Linked DNA regions of Schizosaccharomyces pombe. The protein of the gene in region 2 binds, or shares a complex with, the protein of the main gene of each other region. Each region holds a gene or a part of one and is shown on either strand. Other genes may lie near its edges.

Evidence for each region. The genes of interacting proteins can lie anywhere in the genome.
Region 1: nam9 (region 2) and rsm7 share a complex: the UniProt entries of both Schizosaccharomyces pombe proteins name them as parts of the mitochondrial small ribosomal subunit.
Region 3: nam9 (region 2) and rsm23 share a complex: the UniProt entries of both Schizosaccharomyces pombe proteins name them as parts of the mitochondrial small ribosomal subunit.

The regions. Positions count from the first base shown.
Region 1 is NC_003424.3:3,518,193-3,521,530, forward strand, and holds rsm7 (mitochondrial 37S ribosomal protein uS7m), read right to left. Parts: upstream 1,650-3,338; 5' UTR 1,569-1,649; coding exon 1,035-1,568; intron 948-1,034; coding exon 702-947; 3' UTR 522-701; downstream 1-521. Other genes in the region: RhoGEF Scd1, read left to right, coding at 1-334; transcription factor TFIIH complex subunit Tfb1, read right to left, coding at 2,350-2,427, 2,471-3,014, 3,072-3,255, 3,301-3,338. UniProt on the Schizosaccharomyces pombe protein: Component of the mitochondrial ribosome (mitoribosome), a dedicated translation machinery responsible for the synthesis of mitochondrial genome-encoded proteins, including at least some of the essential transmembrane subunits of the mitochondrial respiratory chain.
Region 2 is NC_003423.3:3,727,603-3,731,145, forward strand, and holds nam9 (mitochondrial 37S ribosomal protein uS4m), read right to left. Parts: upstream 1,748-3,543; 5' UTR 1,687-1,747; coding exon 1,651-1,686; intron 1,598-1,650; coding exon 650-1,597; 3' UTR 593-649; downstream 1-592. Other genes in the region: rns1 (putative RNA-binding protein), read right to left, coding at 1-55, 103-208, 275-466; mpg2 (mannose-1-phosphate guanyltransferase), read left to right, coding at 2,215-2,255, 2,319-2,358, 2,459-3,543. UniProt on the Schizosaccharomyces pombe protein: Component of the mitochondrial ribosome (mitoribosome), a dedicated translation machinery responsible for the synthesis of mitochondrial genome-encoded proteins, including at least some of the essential transmembrane subunits of the mitochondrial respiratory chain.
Region 3 is NC_003423.3:2,065,666-2,070,001, forward strand, and holds rsm23 (mitochondrial 37S ribosomal protein mS29), read right to left. Parts: upstream 2,326-4,336; 5' UTR 2,274-2,325; coding exon 843-2,273; 3' UTR 522-842; downstream 1-521. Other genes in the region: telomerase reverse transcriptase 1 protein Trt1, read right to left, coding at 51-131, 188-445; ribosome biogenesis protein Rrs1, read left to right, coding at 2,728-3,228. UniProt on the Schizosaccharomyces pombe protein: Component of the mitochondrial ribosome (mitoribosome), a dedicated translation machinery responsible for the synthesis of mitochondrial genome-encoded proteins, including at least some of the essential transmembrane subunits of the mitochondrial respiratory chain.

The DNA.
Region 1 (3,338 bases), on a different chromosome or scaffold from region 2:
CACGTCTACCTCCCTATCAGTTCGAAATACCACGAATGTTAAAATTCGTCTCCGTTTACATGAGGTTAGTCTCGTCCTGGTTGTTGCTCATGATATAACATTTGATGAGCTGTTAGCCAAGGTAGAACATAAAATAAAGCTTTGTGGGATTTTGAAACAAGCTGTTCCTTTTCGGGTTAGACTGAAGTATGTTGATGAGGATGGCGATTTTATAACCATCACATCCGATGAAGACGTTTTAATGGCATTTGAAACGTGCACGTTTGAACTTATGGATCCTGTCCATAATAAAGGAATGGATACTGTGTCTTTGCACGTTGTTGTTTATTTCTAAACTAGCATTGTGCTAGCTGTACATTGTCAATTTAATTTATATAGAGGAAATTAACAGTTTAGTCGATGAACTAATTTACTTTCCCTTCTTTGTTTTGAAAAAACAACAATATACTTCATAGAAGATAAATTCTGTAGCATTTCCGTTAACTGAAAAGGAGCTGTAGAAGAATGTTGATGAATATTATGAAAGTTATTTTACAACCAAACTATAACCTCATAAACATGAATATGATTAACTGCGCACTACGTAGTATAATTGAGTTGATAACTAAGAGTAATCAATTCTCGATATACTAGACAAAAATAACATTACTAAAAGGGAATGCAATTCATAAAAAAGATAAAAATGTACGGAATTTTTGTTTTTATATACGAACGGGTGCATTACCTCTGTTAACAAGGCACATTCTGTGCAGATGATCTTTCTTTTTGAAACAATTGCTTGTCTTGCTCCTGATAGCAATGATTTCTTTAACAATACGATCTGATAATCTTTTAGGACTTGATGATTTACATTCACCGAGGATCCATTGTAACGCAATCCTTCTTCGCTGTCGCTCTTTCAATGGCATAGGAAATTCGACACTTTTGTTAAATCGCTTTGCAGAAACCTATCAAAATATTAGCAAATCCGTCTACACACTATAAAAAGAAATAATTCACAAAAAATTCCAAAATTTTCAATAATTTCGACGTACCAACTTCATTAAGGGAGAAATCTCAGCGATTGCTTGTTTCAAAACATCTATAGGATTTTCACCGGTTTCTTTTTGTATGATAGAGAGCGCTGTTGCAACAATCTTTTCAGCTTTAGCTTTTTTCCCATCTCGCATTATTAAATTCACCAAATGCTGTACTGTAGAGTCGACCTGAAATGGTCGATCTATTAACCCTACAATTGAACTTGACGGAGAAGGCCACAGATTTGTACCCATTAGCGGCGGTTCTTCATTTTCAACTTCAATTTTTTTCTCTAATTCACCCATAAAATCGTCGGAGGCAGACTGTTCGACAGAATCTTGAAGTTGATTCAGTAAATTTTCGAGTCCCGCATTATCCCATTGTGGATTTGAACGTTCATTGATATCTTCAATTTTTTCATTATATTTTTCATTTGAGGTAAATTTTCCAACTTGAAAAGTACGAGTCTGATGGATAAAAACAAGCGACTCTTTCATCAAATGTCCCGAACTCGCACATCGAAACAAAGGTTGCTTTATGAGTCGTAGCATGGCCCTTTATTGTTTGTTCTTTCTTCTTGAATGAAATTTTTAAAACAATTACTCTTATTAATCAAAGCATGTAGGAAAGCTAAGGTGTGCGTAGATGTTTAAGCTTAGTACATATACACTATGGATAAATGAAAGAAAAGGGAAGGGAACTAGGCGCTAGCGTGCTACATTTCAAAGTCGTTTGGCTATTTATTTATTAACTTGAAATAAGATAAATTAGGTAATCGATGTTAAAATATTCATCATTAATTGTGTATCCAAATTTAATACTTGAGCTAGACACAGTTTTATTGGGATCATACAGAACTGATACCTTGAAAGAAAGTAAAAAAAAAAGTTATATATAATATACAGAGAAGCGATAAATTGAAAAATTGTAAAAACAAGCATTTAAAACAAAAGAGAGAAATTATGGGACATTAATTAATTGAACATCAGTTTATAACATACTATATTCGTGTCATAAAACGAATTTTAATAAATAATAAAATCTATAAAGACATAAAAACATTAGATTTTGGCCTATGAGCACAGTAATCTAAAAACAGTTTTGATTGTCTTTTGAATCTATAAACCAAAACAAAAGTTTTTTAATTCAAGAGTTGTATAAACAGAAAAAGAGCCATATCCAGCATTTCAATGTTCATTTTTTCCAGCCTTTATGAAGAAAGAACATTAAGTCCAATAAAGAATATATCAATATATCATTAACCTCTATATGGAAAAACAGAAACAATTACCTTTTACAAGCACAATTGAGTTTCCAAAGACATTATCAAACCTAAGCAGGAGGATAAGACATTCGTCTTTGATACTCCGAGATTGACGTATCAATAGAAGTGAGCGTACAGGATACCAACTAATCCTAGTTAATAATCAAAATCTCTACAAAAAAAACTTACCTCATAAACCAGTTTTGGATCAACGTTTTGTTCCTGAGCCTGGCTCGCAATTGCCTCCACCCTTTTTTTCGAATTTAACAGAGCATTCTGAAGGGGGGCCATCGCCTTCTTGTCCGGGAAAGTTGTATTCAACAAGGCATTCCAAAATTGATGCAAAAATTCTATCGTAACGGTATGGCACAAAACAATTTCATTTTTTATGTCAATAGGTAAATTTGATGCAGTGCCGTGGGTCTCAAACTCATGCTTTTCGCGCATACTCTGAGTAAGCTGCATAGCGGCTTCAGCCAAAGAGTCAGAATCATGTTCAATGTGATTTAAGCTTATCGAATCTTCCTGGTATAAATGTTGAAGAGCTTCCAATGAAGGCAAAGGCTCTAAACCAACTTGATTTTTTGAGGGGACAAAATTATTTTCCAATAACTGATCTTGACCTTTGATTTTTAAGACAACTTTAGAGTCACTGGCTTCTTCTTCTAAATCGTGAAAACCAGATTCTTTTAAGTATGTTTCTTCATTTTCGTTGTTAAATCGTTTAGAGTTTCTACAAGTTGTTAGGCATACCGAAGCAATAACAATTAATAAAACCGAATATACATACCCCAAACTTTTTTCCAAAAGTCTTTCCGAAAGCTGATTGATGTTTTTCATAAACGGTAGAGCTTCTTTGTCAATTCGCATAGTGATATCAGGTCTAAGTTCTGCTATTACATTTGCATTTTGATCATTTCCTTCTAAATCAAAGAGGTGCGATGCAATAGGTTCATCCGATACTTTGGTTACCTCTTGAAAATGTTAGAAATGGAATTCATCTAGGTTGGAGAAATTACCTTCATTATCTTTTAAATACTTATCCATTATATCATCA
Region 2 (3,543 bases):
GCGGCCTGGTCATGGTATACGTATTCTATGTAGCAATACCCTTTATTCAATTCAGCTGCAAAGTTAGTGGGTGTAATTCATAAAAAATAAAAGCTCACTCACATTTTTTATAAATTGGCATGAAAATATGATCAATTAGTCCATAAATCCCAAATATTTCTGCTATATGTTCTTTAGTGACATTACGCGTCAAATTTTCCACAAGAATCTATTTTGCATCGTATTAGAAACGATTAGTATGCCTTAAATAACTAATTATACATGGAAAACGTACTGTTCGCAATGGTTCTTCTGGAGATCTGGAAAGCGAACTCGAGTAAGATCTATTCGAGGAAAAAGAATCACGACTACTAGACCGATGTGAGAAATTGGAAGAACGCGACGCTGAACGTCCAGATGGAGATCGGGTATTGTTAAATTGTCTTGTTGAGCTACGTCCACGATAAAAGGCCTCCTTTTGGTACATGAAAAAAGATGTGCCAGTTCTTGTATGTGTATAAGATTTGGTTACGTGGATAGCAGTAGACAGGGCAGTTACTTCATAGAGCAGGAAAACAAAAGTGGAAATCAACATAGTATTACAAAAAGCATAATTGAGAATGTTTTATATTTTATTACTAAACTTTTGAGAGGAGTTCATTTATTCGATTTATACGAGTTTCGTCAACTTTCCTTGACGAACTGGATACCGATGAGAGAATGCTTCTTTGGGAGAAACATTTCGTTTTTTATATAATTCAGGAGGTCCTTGATAAAATGATGCATCGCGTACTTTCTGCGGAATAAGCCGTCTGGCCTGACATCTAGCTGCTCCTTGCCGCATATTACGACTTCTGATATAGTATGTATAGGCTAAAGCGTGCAAGTCTTCAGGAAATGGAGAAGGAACTTCCGTTAAGCCAGGACGAGCAACTGGATCACGCACATAAACAAAGGAACAAGTGCGGAAGCAAACTTCTAAATAAGCAGGGATAAATGCCATTAGTGACATAAACGGTTTAGGAACAAAGTTGGAAATTGTTTCATTGATAGAGGGCAACTTTCCATTAGAAGTCTGTTCAAATAAATCATCATCATTATCCTTTTTTTTTTCATTTTCTCCATCCTTAGAGGACACCTGTTCAGTTTGCTTCCCATCCTGTATAGAAGGGGTATTGTTACTAGAGGCAGAAACACAATTCATTACTGATTTTTGATCAACAGTTACTAAATCACCAGGTAAGAGTTGACGATAGGCACGGCGTTCAGGTTTTCCGTTTACGTGCACTTTTCCATGAAGCACCAGTTGGCGAGCCTGTAAAGCGCTAGACGCAAATAACGCTCGATGAATAGACATGTCTAAACGGGATTCCAAAAATGCATAAGTCTGATTCATAAAAGGGATGGGAAGCTTATTATCTAAGGAAGAAATAACCCCCTCCAATTTTGGGCGGAAGGCATTTTTCAGTTGATATTCGCGTAATTGAGGACCATGATAAGACCTTGTTTCCTTCTTCGCATTCCATTTTTTTTGATATAAAGTTCTATTATTCAGAGCAGGTAGTTGTTTTCTTGCAATGTTGTATATATTGTATTTGTTCCACGACGGACGCAAAAGCTAGATATGTATTAATAAAAGCGAAAAAATCAATAATTTCATATATAACATACACCGCGCTTTAAAGAGAACCTAAATTTCCCCTTCATGAGCAATTAAGTCTTTGTCACGAGAGTCCAATCTTCCAGCGTAGTGCGTGAAGTTGATGGTAAATTCATAAAGGTGATTAAAGAGAACAAATTTTTAAAAAGGCTACTTTTACTCGAAAATTCAATTAGTAAATTTTATTTATTTAAGTTTTAATGCATTATAATTTGTACCAAAGCTAGAAGGTGCTTTACTATTTTCTGCAAAACAGCTGATGATGAGCATTAAGTTCCTCACGGCTGGCAAAGTGCCTCAGCCTGCAGCACAATTTTTAGATCATGGGTTTTTGAACTAAATTGATTTACATTAGTATTTCATTGTTACATAGAGTATTATCTTCTGCAGCCAGGCTATTAAGTGCAAATATGAACTGGCAGAAGTTAGCTCATAGCGCTACCTTCCTTATTAAACAAAGGAGAGCTGGACAGGACTTGCACAGAACCACACACCAAGTTTCAAGAGGCGTATATCTCTTTCGTTTTTGGTGATTTTGATACTCATTATTGATTTTTTAGTATTAAATTGCTATTATGATTTCCTCTGCTGTCATTCTGGTCGGGGGTCCATCTCGGTACGTACCAACGAAAAATAAGTCTATTAAACGCGTGAATATCAGTAACTAATTACTTTGCAGTGGTACCCGATTCCGCCCTCTTTCGTTTGATGTCCCTAAAGTACGTCTTATTTAGAATTTATATGTTGGTAAAATACGTAATCCAGTTTTACTTTCTAGTTGCATTTGAAACATAAGAGCTATTTTGCTAACTAAATTAGCCTTTGTTTAAAATTGGAGGACGAGAAATGATTTACCATCATTTGGCGGCTTTATCCAAGATTGAAAGTGTTAAAGATGTCTTTTTGGTTGGTTTCTACGATGAAAGCGTTTTCAAAGATTTTATCAACGAAGTAGCTTCGCATTTCCCCAGTTTCAATCGTATCAAGTATCTCCGTGAATACAACTGCTTAGGAACTGGTGGCGGCTTATACCATTTCCGTGATCAAATCCTTAAAGGACATACTTCTAATGTTTTTGTTATGCATGCGGATGTGTGTTGCAGTTTTCCCTTACAAGAATTGTTAAACGTTCATCACGAGAAGAAAGCTTTAGTTACTTTAATGGCTACTAAGGTTAGTAAAGAAGATGCTTCTAACTTCGGTTGCCTTGTAGAGGAACCAAGTACTGGGCGTGTACTTCATTATGTTGATAAGCCAAGCTCCTATCTTTCAAATATTATTTCATGTGGTATTTATATCTTTGATGCCTCTATATTCGATGAAATCAAAAAAGCGTACGAGCGTAGACTTGAGGAGGTCGAGAAGCAACTCAGGTCCTTGGATGAAGGAATGGAAGACTACCTCAGTTTGGAGACCGATGTGCTTGCTCCATTGTGCTCAGATTCCTCTAAAGCCATTTATGCTTATAATACTCCTGAGTTCTGGCGTCAAATAAAAACCGCTGGCTCTGCTGTTCCTGCTAATTCCTTGTATTTACAAAAGGCATATCATGATGGTACTCTTCCAAAACCCGACACTGAGGCTGAGATCATTCAGCCGGTTTTTATTCATCCTAATGCTATTGTTAGCAAAGGTGCAAAGATTGGACCCAATGTTTCAATTGGTGCTCGTGTTCGCATCGAGGATGGCGCACGTATTCGAAACTCAATTATTCAAGAGGATTGCGAAATTTCTGCCAATGCTGTTGTTTTACATTCCATTCTTTCCCGCCATTGCAAGATTGGTAAATGGTCTCGAGTCGAAGGTTCTCCAACTCTTCCAAGCCAGCACTCCACTACGATTATGCGTAACAGCGTTAAAGTCCAAGCTATTACTGTTATGGGCGCCGATTGTATAGTCCATGA
Region 3 (4,336 bases), 1.7 Mb from region 2:
TCTTTGAAACAGTAATTGCAGGTAAATATTTCACAATTAGAATACCTTACCATGGAAAACCCTTTCATCAGTAGATTCCTTCGACGCTCAAAACTTTCATCGAACATCTGTTTTACAACATTCGCTATTAGCTGCCCATATATTAGCTATCCCGAATAGAAAAAAATCAAAACAAAAATATATATACCTCTGACTGTGAGCATTTTGGAGAAGAAAATTGAACACCTTCATCTGGCTTACTGTCGAAGCCGACTACAGTCGAATGAAGAAAAATAGAAAAGGACGTTTGTACATCGCTTCTCAAGCGTTCGCATATATTGCTATACGAGCTTGCCGGCGACCCTCTCAAAACAAGTTGTACATAATCATTTAAGGTACATAGGTATACATATTGATTCTCTAGAAAGCGAAGAATCCTGCTTTTGGGGGTATGGTGTTCGGTCATGCAAGTTACAAGTAACCATTAAGCATAACTATATATATGCAAAGTGTCCTACTGATCATAACGTTTTAAATAAATAGTGACCGCAAATATTGATTAATATTTATAATTATAGGATTTTTTTTATATAATGATAGCTAATAAATGTTTTGCAAAGTATCTTTAAACTAATAACATTACACGAGTAGAATCACCAATCTTTCTACTACTATCAATTATAAGCGAAACTAATTTAGATTATTCATTAGGGGGAATAGTGAAAAAGGTACGATTCCAGGAGTAAAACGGAAAAAAGCCTAATACGAGATGATACATATTTGGAACAACATGAGAATAGAAAATAGAAAAATAAAACCGCGTTAAAGGAGTTGTAGTGGATAGAAATTTTTGAATATCTCAATCATGCTAGACGTGTGCAAGCATCAAAAAACTTTCGCGGATTACCACCACTAAGGACATGATTTTGCAAATAATTATCAACCTTTTCAAGGCAAACGTTGGATGATACCAAATACTCCATCATGCGACGTGACTCATCTAAAGTGTAAGGCTCCATGTTAAGAATATGCACGGACTGTAATGAATCTAATATAGTCTCATCAGAAGATTTGTAAGGATTTCTGTGAGCTACTCCAAGAGCTATATCCAATGACGGGGTAGAAACACGCGGTTGGCTAGAAGTAGCAGCTAAAACAGTACCACGATTAAAAGTAAGCGAACCCGAAATATATTTGAAAAGTAAATTAATAAAGTAAAAGTCTTTAGGGGGAAGGAAGTTGTTCTTTTTGTCCTTATACTTGGTAACGACCGATAAAATAGAAATATTATCGATCACTAATAACACCTTCATATTGGAATTTGACTTGGTATTGTTATTGAGTTCTTGTAAAAATATTTCCAGAGATTTAGGAGCGTTCGAGGAAGCAATTAGCTTATGAAGAAAGGAAAGTAAATCGGTACCAGCAGGAATGCATTCGTTCTGAAGCAACTCATGACTTTCAAAGGTCTTTAGCTTCTTAAGTTTATCAGAATTAGTTTTCATAACAGAAGTTAGAAATCCCTTAATTAAATCTGGTTGCACCCACAACTTGAGTTGCTCATCATAACCATAACTACTCGTTGAATTTACCCATCCTTCGCAGTTATGGACTGGCAAGACTATAAAATTAGGTTGTGATAAGGCGAAAAGTTCAGCTTGTATGAGAGCAATACTTCTTCCTGAACCTGGAGCACCATCAAGAAGAAAACGTCCGTCCTTCGTACCCTGGTCTTTGGAGCGCTGCAGTACATTCACTAATTCAGTTGTAATTTTCCTGTGCAAAAGGGAAGCACTGGTAAAAAAGGAGAAACTTTTTTTTTGTTTTTCTAAAGCCCCAAATCCATTAAGTTTATTAAGCAATTCCTCGGGGATTTTAAACATCTTACCTTCAGACTTGCTGGACCAAGACATATGCGGATGAATTTCAGAGGGCTTCACCTCTTCTAAAGTATTTTCTCCTTCATTTAAGAGATGATCCAATACAACGCTACTATTGGGAATAGTCGTCGATTTCTCTACTGACGAAGTTGAGGGGGGAATTTCATTAATTCTTGGCGCTTCCGAATTTTTTTGACGCTGCTGGTTAGAGCTTGAATGTATATTTCCTCCAACAGGTCTACCCGTATGCTGGTATTGTGAGGATGAATAGTATTTGTTAAATGTGCATTTTTCAAAAGTGTAGAGTCCTCCCAGTTTACTACCGCAAACAGTCAGTTTTCCACCGGACAGGATATTAGAAATTCTCTCTGTATTCTTAATAATACTACTTCTGCTTCTAAACTTCGGTAGCATTTTGTTAGAGGTATTTTTTTCTCGTAAATCTTAAGTATACATATCTGTTCTCACGTAAATGAAGAGACTGACTGCTTCCGGATGGTAAGTATTTACTGAGCTCTTAGCGCATTGCTAATATTTTTTAATAGGGTAGATTTGGCGTTCAGTAATAAAGAGAACTAACGTATTGCTAATAAGTGTCTCTACTTTTGCAAAAACTAAAGAATCGTAAAAGTTTTCTTACTTTCTTCGTTTGTCATAAAGAAAGTAAAAACAGTAGATTGCTGAACTGAAAGAGAGCTTTTTCTCTTATATATTCAGTAGTTTGATAAAAATTTTGGAGTTTGAAAGAAGAATTTCGTATCCTGAACCAACTTTTTAACAAATCAATTTTGCAGTCTTTTTTGAGAACTTTTTGTCACTTAATTGTATTATCAACCCTTTTTTTTTCCTTGTCCCTATTTCGTTAATCATGTCTGCACAAATAGAAAACTCCATTCCTCTAGATTTCGATTTGGGAAATATGGCTGCATTTGATATTTCTCCCTTAGATGAAACTAAGCTTAGCGGTTCAGAGAAAGAATCATTCCTTTTTTCTCTCAGTAGAGATAACGTTCAACAATTGGTGAACAAAATGATTTCCTTGCCTAAGGAGCGTACATCAGATGGCGTCCTTTTACAGCTTCCTGAAACTGTTACACCTCTTCCTCGTGCTAAACCTTTACCTAAACCCAAGCCCGAAACCAAATGGCAACGGTTTGCTCGTATTAAAGGTATTGCTCCTAAGAAGCGGGAAGGCAGGTTGGTGTTTGATGAAGCATCTGGTGAATGGGTACCAAAATGGGGTTATAAGGGTAAAAATAAGGAATTAGAGACACAATGGCTTGTTGAAGAGGGAGAAAAGGAAAAGAAGCTTACTTCCAAGCAAGTGAGAAATACCTCAAAAAAAATCAAGCGCTCTCGTCGCCATTAATTGGTCCTGCTTAAAAAAAATTTTTCTTAATTTAAAAATTTACTATAATTTAGCTATTCATGGGTTAAGTGGTATAATATCATTTTTATTTTGTTATTATCGTTTGTTTTTGTTTGCTACAACTAAAATCCCTTCTTCAATTGGGATATCAACGGGTACAGAAGGAATATGTAAGACATCGGTTATGTGGCTGCTTTGTTTACACATTTTTATGTGTTAAAAATTAACGAGCACTTTTTTGAAGCTGCTACTCGAAAATCGAACGTTAAAATGTTGAATGTTTACGAGTTAAGTGTAAAGTAAGTTTTAACAGCAACTGTTTTGATACACTGTGGGATTTCCTCCAATTGAATTTTCTAATAACCTCTTGTAAAAAAAGTTTCATACAGTTAAAATGCGACCATATCGTAGTTAATTATTATTTTCTGTATGCAGTCTTAAAAGGCTGGAACATCATATTAAGAGCCCAACTCATGGCTAACTGATATGCAACATTTTTGAAATGTTCAACAAACAGAATTTCATCAGACTCAACAATAACAATCCTTTCTAAATTACTATATAGATTGCAACATCAGTCTAAATATCTGAATGCATTAGTGGTGTAGCGGTAACATTGGAGCTTCCCATGCTCTAGCTCCGGGTTCGACTCCCGGCTGATGCAAATATAGCTGTGAATTTTTAAAAATATAATTGTTTATGTTCTAAAATTGGTTTTTGCATTTTCTATGAATGATATACTCAATCAAAACATATCCTTTTGAGTGGTAAACATAAATTTTTAGTAGATTATATAAATAAATGTGCAAGCCATACTTCAATTTCTAATCATTTTTAAACCGAGTGTATAATAAGTTTTCTAATACTGACTTGTTTATTTAAATATTTAACATAATAATTAATTTTGATATGAGATTGATGCTTTTAGTAGTAATAATAAAAAAAATTTAAAAAATGCAAATAAATAGAAAAAAAATTAAAGAAAAACTCATTAATCCAAAAAAAAGCTTACCAATATTATCATTTGTTTCTCGGTTGGCTACTTCGTCGATTTTATGGTGTATATCATTAATTTTCTAAGTATTGTTTACGTTCGATATTTTAAGCA